Drosophila melanogaster: one gene and its partner. The protein of the gene in region 1 interacts with the protein of each later gene in a pairwise test. Each region holds a gene or a part of one and is shown on either strand. Other genes may lie near its edges.

The links.
Region 2: the proteins of Cyp4e2 (region 1) and ND-B14.7 interact in a two-hybrid assay, tested with the Drosophila melanogaster proteins (one large-scale study listed by BioGRID).

The regions. Positions count from the first base shown.
Region 1 is NT_033778.4:8,442,475-8,447,672, forward strand, and holds Cyp4e2 (cytochrome P450 4e2), read left to right. Parts: upstream 1-2,085; 5' UTR 2,086-2,199; intron 2,200-2,236; exon of another isoform or gene 2,237-2,253; 5' UTR 2,254-2,296; coding exon 2,297-2,456; intron 2,457-2,507; exon of another isoform or gene 2,508-2,607; intron 2,608-2,883; coding exon 2,884-2,993; intron 2,994-3,059; coding exon 3,060-3,409; intron 3,410-3,467; coding exon 3,468-3,837; intron 3,838-3,897; coding exon 3,898-4,072; intron 4,073-4,132; coding exon 4,133-4,548; 3' UTR 4,549-4,690; downstream 4,691-5,198. Other genes in the region: Cyp4ad1 (cytochrome P450 4ad1), read right to left, coding at 113-278; Cyp4e1 (cytochrome P450 4e1), read left to right, coding at 5,029-5,188. UniProt on the Drosophila melanogaster protein: May be involved in the metabolism of insect hormones and in the breakdown of synthetic insecticides.
Region 2 is NT_033778.4:21,023,045-21,026,634, forward strand, and holds ND-B14.7 (NADH dehydrogenase (ubiquinone) B14.7 subunit), read left to right. Parts: upstream 1-2,033; 5' UTR 2,034-2,116; intron 2,117-2,296; 5' UTR 2,297-2,302; coding exon 2,303-2,559; intron 2,560-2,616; coding exon 2,617-2,711; intron 2,712-2,771; coding exon 2,772-2,932; 3' UTR 2,933-3,042; downstream 3,043-3,590. Other genes in the region: RIC-3 (RIC3 acetylcholine receptor chaperone), read left to right, coding at 390-542, 618-710, 932-1,081, 1,139-1,273.

The DNA of each region.
Region 1 (5,198 bases):
CGCTGCAAAATTCCCAGGTGATTGCGGCGGGCTGATTCGGTCAGAGCCACGATTTTGGCATTAAACGTTGAAGAGTTCATAAATATAGGCAGGCTATTTGGTCAGTACTCACCGGCTGGCTTGAGACCGAACTGGAACAGATTACCCACGAAGGGGTATGGCGTGGGTCCTGGGATCATCTCCATGATGCCAGCCATGTGGTCTATGTAGTTGAATATCCTCACTCCCTTGAACACCAAAATGGTGGCCAAAATAATGGCAATGGCTATTAGAAACATGATGCCGCCCAACTGTTCTCGCTCGCAATGCCGCACAGACTGTGGTTTGCCGTAACATTCGCAGATTAGTCGGTGACCAATTTTCGCCCGATTATGCCTTCGATAGCTTATCTGAACTTTATGCATTTTATTTTTTGTTTGTTGCTTGCAATCGATGTACTATTAACATAGTACTTTATTGCCGTCGGTAATTGATAAATATAACTATTGTGGACTACCTAGTGGGAATTGACTCACTAAACTGATGACGTGTAGGTCTAAAGGCCTTTTGGTATCGCCAGAAGATTTGGGGCCAATAAACGATTGTTAGTCGCTTCGTGATAATGAATTAGGGCGGTAGCCATAATTTTTGACACGCAATAATTATTAATAGGGACACTTTTGATTGAGGGATTAACAACGGCACGATAAGCTGTTTGTTCAACATAGTAAACACAAAATAGATAACTTTTGGAAAAGCAATCAAATTGAAAAGGTGTGTGGTAAAAAGATTGATATTAACAACTAAATACATATAAATTTAAAAAAAAATTTGATTGGTGTTTATATTTATATTTATACTTACCAGACGATCATGACTTTTCAATTTATTAATGCATTTAAAAAAATTTTAATATTAATAAGGAATTTTAATAGCTACACAGCATTGAATTTTAAAACGAATAAGTTTAAATAGTTTTTTTTTTTCAAAATAGGACAAAAAATTAAGAATTACCATATACATAAGTATAAACATTTCTTAAGTTCGTACAACTACAGAACTTATCATTTAATTGTGTATATATATATGTACATATAGCAGTCGCATTCGCACACACTCCTAGTGCGATTAGTCACTAGGTGGAATGCCGTCCAAAGTAATTTATTTGCTTTAGCAAATATAAATATAACATATATATATATAATGTAATTATACATAACAGCGTTTTCTTGAAAAATATATAGCATTGTGCTGATAACGGAAGAACAACGAACAGAATAATGCCGCTTTTTAACATTTTCTTCTCTTCCACTAGATTTATCTTCAAAGCTATTCATTTTGATGTAAATTCACAAATTAACTCGTTTCCGAAAGCATATTTTTACGAAAGAATGCATTTCCCATATGCTTTTATAATGCTTTTATCATACTACAAGTCATGATGCAGAGACAATGTAAAAAATTGGATTTCTTTTAAAACGTTTTTCGTGTTTGGCTTAAGTTCGAATTTTGCAGCGAGAATATAAAGTATATATATTCTTGATCAGTATCATGTTTTATTGACTGATATTATATCGATATAGCCATGTGCGTCTCTCAGTTCTAAAACTATCTCTATAAAACTCTTCCAAAAAGATTGCTTCTATTTACATATGTAACTCAAAACGTGACGGAGCGGAACAGAATAATCGAAAAATAAACGCACACTGTGCTGATATCATTTCTTAAATGTAAATGTAAATTTAAATTTGCAGTGGATTTTACCTTACGTCTGTGATTTCTACCAAATTTAAGTCTTGCTGCTGATAAGCTAAGAAGAGCAAGCGACTTTCTCTCTCTTCTCTTCAATTTCTGTAAGAGTAATCTTAAAAACATTTTGCAAACATAATGTGTTCATCAATTCTCCCGATTTCTCTTTCTTGTTGTGAGCGAATGTTTATCAACGTTTTGTTTTATTCCATTTTTTGCTGCCATAAAACAATATATACTGGATACAGTTTTAAAAAAAGTTAACTGTTACACATTTAAGCGCAGTCTCGAAAACTATTGGTTCTCCATCTCATCTAACGATTAATCAGGGGGCTCATCTTAAAAAACCTGATATTGATTCGGCAAGTCATGCTGAAAGCACCAAAATATATACTTATATTCGGGAGACTACAGTTGGATTAGGAAAACGGCAGATAAGGGAGCAAGCGACTGGGGAGCTGGCTGATATTGGTATCTCTCGTATTTAAACCGCCCGCCGGCCCAAATAAGCTCTCATATTTCCAGTGATTCGCGGGCTGGACGGTTGTCGTGGAACTCGCGATCGAAAATGTGGTTCGTGTTGTATATTTTTCTGGCCCTACCACTGCTGCTGGTTGCATATCTGGAGTTGAGCACATTCCGCCGGAGAAGAGTGCTTAACAAGTTCAACGGCCCCCGCGGCCTGCCGCTGATGGGAAACGCTCATCAAATGGGCAAGAATCCGTCAGGTGGGTTTTTCATAGGAGCCGGAAAAGTCGTAGCGTTAGCCACGCAGAGGACACACCTGAAATTACCCATCTCGAATAGCGTTGTGACTGAGGTAACTGCGCATCGAATCTACTCAGCGGCGAGGCTATTCAAGTAAGGTTATTTTGGGCCAGCGACTTTACGACCGGAAAACAAGGGTGTTAACTATCAGATAATGGGGCTACTGGCACTTGTAGAAATGGGCTAATCGTAGCCTAGGTCGAGTATCGCAAAAATAATGACGAGGCTTTGATTTGTGTTGTGTAATATACGATGTATGTATGTATGTATTATACTGCACTAATGAATACTGAAAATCGCGTGCCAAAAACAAGCAATGATTATCTACGGAATACCGATATTGGTACGCGATCCGCCTACTAATGGCATTTTCTCACGTCTATATAGAAATACTCGACACGGTTTTCTCCTGGTGGCATCAGTATGGAAAAGACAACTTCGTCTTTTGGATTGGAACGTATTCTAATGTATTGGTCACCAGCTCCAAGTACCTTGAAGTGAGTTACAGCGAATTTCCACCAATCATGTAATCATGTGACTCTATTATTTTCGTACTTCTTCAGTTCATACTCAGCAGTCAGACGCTGATCACAAAGTCCGACATTTATCAACTAACACACCCTTGGCTGGGATTAGGTCTCCTCACCAGTACTGGCAGCAAATGGCATAAACACCGCAAGATGATCACCCCAGCATTCCACTTCAACATCCTGCAGGACTTCCACGAGGTGATGAACGAGAACTCCACCAAGTTTATCAAGCACTTAAAGACAGTTGCTGCCGGGGACAATATATTCGACTTCCAAGAACAGGCCCACTATTTGACCCTGGATGTCATTTGCGACACAGCGATGGGTGTGTCCATCAATGCCATGGAAAACCGCAGCTCTTCCATTGTGCAGGCCTTCAAAGAGTTAGTTTCGTACCTCGTAGTCGAACTATCAGATTGCATGACTCTTGATCCTTTTCAGCATGTGCTACAACATCAACATGAGAGCCTTCCACCCGCTGAAGCGCAATGAACTGCTGTATCGTTTGGCTCCGGACTACCCGGCCTATAGCAGGACTCTAAAAACACTGCAGGACTTTACCAACGAGATCATCGCTAAGCGCATTGAAGCCCACAAATCGGGTGCAGTTTCGACCAACGCGGGAGATGAGTTCACTCGCAAGAAAATGGCCTTTTTAGACACTCTGCTGTCCTCCACTATTGATGGTCGTCCCCTGAACTCCAAGGAACTGTACGAAGAGGTCTCCACATTTATGTTTGAAGGACATGATACTACCACTTCTGGAGTGTCGTTCGCTGTCTATTTGCTTTCTAGACATCAAGATGAACAGGTTCAGTACATTGCTTGAGACGCCAAATCTTTAAATGACTAACTTCCCTTGCTATTATAGCGCAAACTATTTAAGGAGCAACGCGAAGTAATGGGTAATTCCGAACTGGGTCGCGATGCCACCTTCCAGGAAATATCCCAAATGAAGTACTTGGATCTCTTTATCAAGGAGGCCCAGCGTGTTTATCCCAGCGTGCCTTTCATTGGACGATTTACGGAGAAAGACTATGTTATAGGTAACCATTAATTAAAGCAATTTAAAGAGCTTTACATAACAGTACCATACTTGCTTATAGATGGGGATCTCGTACCCAAGGGCACCACACTGAACCTGGGTCTCGTGATGCTGGGTTATAACGAAAAGGTGTTCAAAGATCCCCACAAGTTCCGACCTGAGCGCTTTGAGCTGGAGAAACCAGGACCTTTTGAGTATGTACCCTTCAGCGCTGGACCCCGAAACTGCATTGGTCAGAAGTTCGCCCTGCTGGAGATTAAGACTGTGGTATCCAAGATCATTAGGAACTTCGAGGTGCTTCCTGCTCTGGATGAGCTCGTCTCTAAGGATGGCTATATAAGCACCACTATTGGACTCCCTGATGCCGAGAGGAAGAAGCGCGATCCATACCGTCACAAATACGACCCTATTCTTTCCGCTGTGCTGACCCTGAAATCCGAAAATGGTCTATACATTCGGCTGAAGGAAAGGCACTAAAATGTCAATTTATTGATCTCTGTTAAGTTTGGTGCTTTAATTTTGCATACCTGTGTTTTTTTAGGTATGCCGTCCCCACAGATACAATTATTAGGAAGCTGTTAATCACTTTGTCTCATACAACACATAAAACTTTTGAAACAAATCAACTCGTTTTAATCTTTGAACCATTGAGACTATGTTAATTAGCTTAAAAAATTTGAAATTATAGTTTCCACACGTGTAAGCCATTTTCAAGAGAAATGTTCATCAAGAAACTTAGTCGCAGCATATAGAAGGTCATGCTGAGTGCCCATATATTAGTTTAAAATTTGGGAGATAGTCATAGGCTGCTTCTTATGTGTGGATGTATATCCAAGCGCGAGAGACTGAGAACTGTCTGCCGCAACCGGTTGAAGTACTGACGCAGAGAGTCTTGAGGTTTCTACTCAAATCCGATTTACTCGCTGCACCGATCGGTTGTCTGTGGTCGCATTCAAAATGTGGATCGTACTGTGCGCTTTTCTTGCCCTTCCACTGTTCTTGGTGACCTATTTCGAGCTTGGACTACTGCGGCGAAAGCGAATGCTGAACAAATTCCAAGGCCCAAGTATGCTGCCTTTGGTGGGCAATGCTCATCAGATGGGAAACACTCCCACAGGTAGGTGCTC
Region 2 (3,590 bases), about 13 Mb from region 1:
CTGTACTTTCATGGGGCTAGTTGTTACGGCCATACAAGGTTTGATAGACGCGGCCGACGAGCAATTGAATGGCCAAGACAAGCAGAGGGCGACGAGCGACACTGAAACTGATTCGAATAAGGTTAGAGACCTTCAAAGGGTCCGGCACGGCAATCCTTGAACATATAATTTGTAACAAGAACTTAATCTTTTTGTTTATTAACCAAGATCCTTCGACTAATTGAGTTTTGTTGCGTTTCACCTAACCACAACGAATTGAAGTAATTAATGCGTTCGATTTCTGATTTCTTGCGTTTTGAGGCTGTATAGAATTGCTTAGCTCTCACATTCTACTGACTGTTTCGAGAGTGTCCTCTCTAACCGTATTATATCCTGTGTATCCTGTGCAGAAAAACGACAACGAAAAAACGAGGGAGCAACCACTAGACAAGCAGAACCTATCCAATGGACATGCAAGCAGCACCGACCAAAATCCGGAGCAGGAGACCGTGGCGAAGGGAGCCAGGAAACGGCGGGATCTAAGCGCTGAACAGGAACTGACGGTATGCCATTATATACCCTGTATAGCACCTTTGAGTACGTAGATCTTTGCCGTAAATAATCGAATATTGGTGCAGGTACTCGGCATGGAGTTAACAGCCAGTTGCGAGGGCGGCCACAAGTGGACTGGACGCCCTCCAACGCCTGTTTTCCGAGCGCCAAGCGAACATGTAAGTGCCACTGACGCACAGACCCCCCACCACTTTCAAGTTCTCAACTTAACTAGACTAGTTTCGACTAACTGCTACCCTAACGCTTTCAATATATCCCTACAAAAAAAAGTGATTAAACTGGGATGTTTCCTACGCTCTCAACCTCCTCTGCGCATATGTGTTGAAGCTTTTAAATATGTATATCAGAAATACTAAATAGAATCCCTCTTCGATTTCAGTCCAAATTGGAAGACAACTTGCCGGAGCCGCAGTCCATTTACTTGGAAGGCGCTTTGGCCCATGAGTCCCAGATTTTGGTTGCCGACTCCCAGATCAAACGCGAAGAAGTCTACGACTCGGAGCTCAATGGCTCAGCCGAGGAACCAGCCGTATGGATAAGCCATTCTACTAAACTATATCAATTAATTAACTTAATTAACTTGCAGATCATTCTTAGCAGCAGAATGACATTGTCATTGATTAATTTGGACGCAAATCAACAAAATGGAAATGCAGGCAAATCCGCAGTGGAAAGTCCTCTGGCTGATGACATCGAAATAATTGGACACGACGAGCAGTAGATCGATTTTTATATATATATAATTTGGCAATGAACACGACTTGATTCAGACGAAACTAACTAATTGCAAGGGCCGAGTGAAATTTCGTTGCTAATTTCGTTGAACGACGAACATTATGACTGATTGCCACGAAACAGATTTGCCAATAATTTGATATCTGATTTGTATATATATACATATTGTATGTTTTGATATCTTCGTTTTGATTTTAAAACGCCAACGTTGTGTCTACTCCCTCTAAAGTAAACCTTAAAACTTTATGCTCTTGAAAACCTTAATCATTTTCGGTCAAAACTTAAAGCCAAACTTGCATGTCTAGAAAACTCTTTAGCTCGTTTAGAAAACCGCGTCTTTGTGAACTGCATGATTTTGTGTGAATACTCTTAGTTGAAAGTCAATGCAAAACTAGTCTACCATTAAGCTAAGCGCATATGTATTTCAAGCCGCATCGTCTAATCAAAATCCGTAGCTACTTGGCAATGAAATTACCTTAAAAAAAAATCCAATCGATCGCACGTAAATCGTATGATTAAACAAATAAAGTTAGTGCCACGGCGTTTGTGAACCTAGTATAATGAATAAATTGAAAACCGAACTTGACATCCACATGTGTTTTGAATTTTAAATTAATACATAGTTATAATGAAATTTCATTCCTTAATATTTTCCAATTATAATTTTCTAAAAAATTAGTTTTTCAAACTAACAGTGCTGTAACATTTTGATTAACAGAATGCGCCTTACAGCACAAAGAGTGAATTTTTCCTTCTGCTCGTGTGTATACACTGGCGAACAGCTGTTTTTTGTCAATCTCCGCCACAATAATTACGTAAATTTCGGCAGGTTAGCAATTTTTTGTATATTCCACAGTAATTCTGCGCAACTTACCACTAGCCATGCTCCTAAGGGATAGCGTTCACAGAACAATCACTAATGTTCCTTGTGACTGGAGACACAATGGGTGTTCCGTAATTCTTACGTTTGATTGTGGCTAATGTTTTTGGACCTCCATACCTTCCGTAGCAAACCATGTCGCTGCTCCGTTCGAAATACTACGACCATCCCGATGGCGAGGATGCCTTTGGCAAGATCGTGGCCACCAACAAGTACGCGGTATCCGCCGGCGTGGCCTGGTCCATGTTCGACGTCCTGACGCTCTCCAAGCCGCAAGGATATCTGCCCACACTGGGCCGTTTCGCCTACAACACGGGTCCGCTGATGGGCATGGCCACGGCGTTCACTCTGACCACCCTGGTGGCCACAAATGCGCGCGGCAAGGACGATAAGTGAGTAAGCAGCCCACCTGTTGATGGCTATTGGTCCTAACCATGTTTGAATTGCAGAATCAACTACCTGATCGGCGGTTTTGCGGCTGGCGGCGTCTTTGGAGCCTGGAAACACAACCACGTAGCTGGTCTGTGCGCCGGCCTCTTCCTGGGTTAGTTCCCTCGCTTCCTATGAAACTAAAGCACTAGAGTTAACCACTCACTCTTTTCAGGCATCGCTGGTGTCATCAAGAAGATGTCCATTGAACAGGGCTGGGAGTTCTTCCCAAACACACCGATCAAGCAGTATGGTGGTCTGAACATTGCCGGAAACGACTGGACCATCATGGCCGATCCTCCCAAGAACTGGACCACGGAAAAGCCAAAGGAGTAAAGAAGGCGTAAAGTCTAGTTTCCTATGTTTAGTTTAATGGTGATTCGATGAGAGAAAGATTCGGCACTAACCGCTTGCCTTGCAACCGAATAAAAGCCAAGTCAGAAGTGATAATGCCAAGGCAGCTGTCGCCATTCCTCGGCTGTCCATTAACCCTATCTAATGGTGCCACAGGCTGGGCTTCGTTAGCCGTCTCGATATGCAAACGGCTCGAATGTGTCACAGAAACTTATCAACAGTTGGCGTGAATGAATGACGGCGGCCCAGGCGGTAAATCGGGGAAACCAAAGGGGCGGCAAGCGCAAAAGCAACTAACCAAAAAAAAAGGGGGGGGGGGTGGTAAACAAGTCACGCTCGCAGCTCAGCGGAGTCTTATGTGCTGCCAACAGTTTATTTCTTTATTTTCATCGGCCCATTTAAAATCCATGAATGTGCATTTACTCATGTTTTTTGTTTTGGCTCTTTTCACTTGGCGAGGTGAGTCATGCCCCAAGCATACATATGTAAGTATGCTTGGCCATTGGTAAGAGATGCCATTGTACGCATACTAATGTTGGCTCTTAGGTTCTTTTATTGGGCTTCGAAATTGGAATCCATCGATTGAATCTGTGGGCTGCCCACAGGAATTCTGGCGAAGCATCCCAACCGACCATTTGCC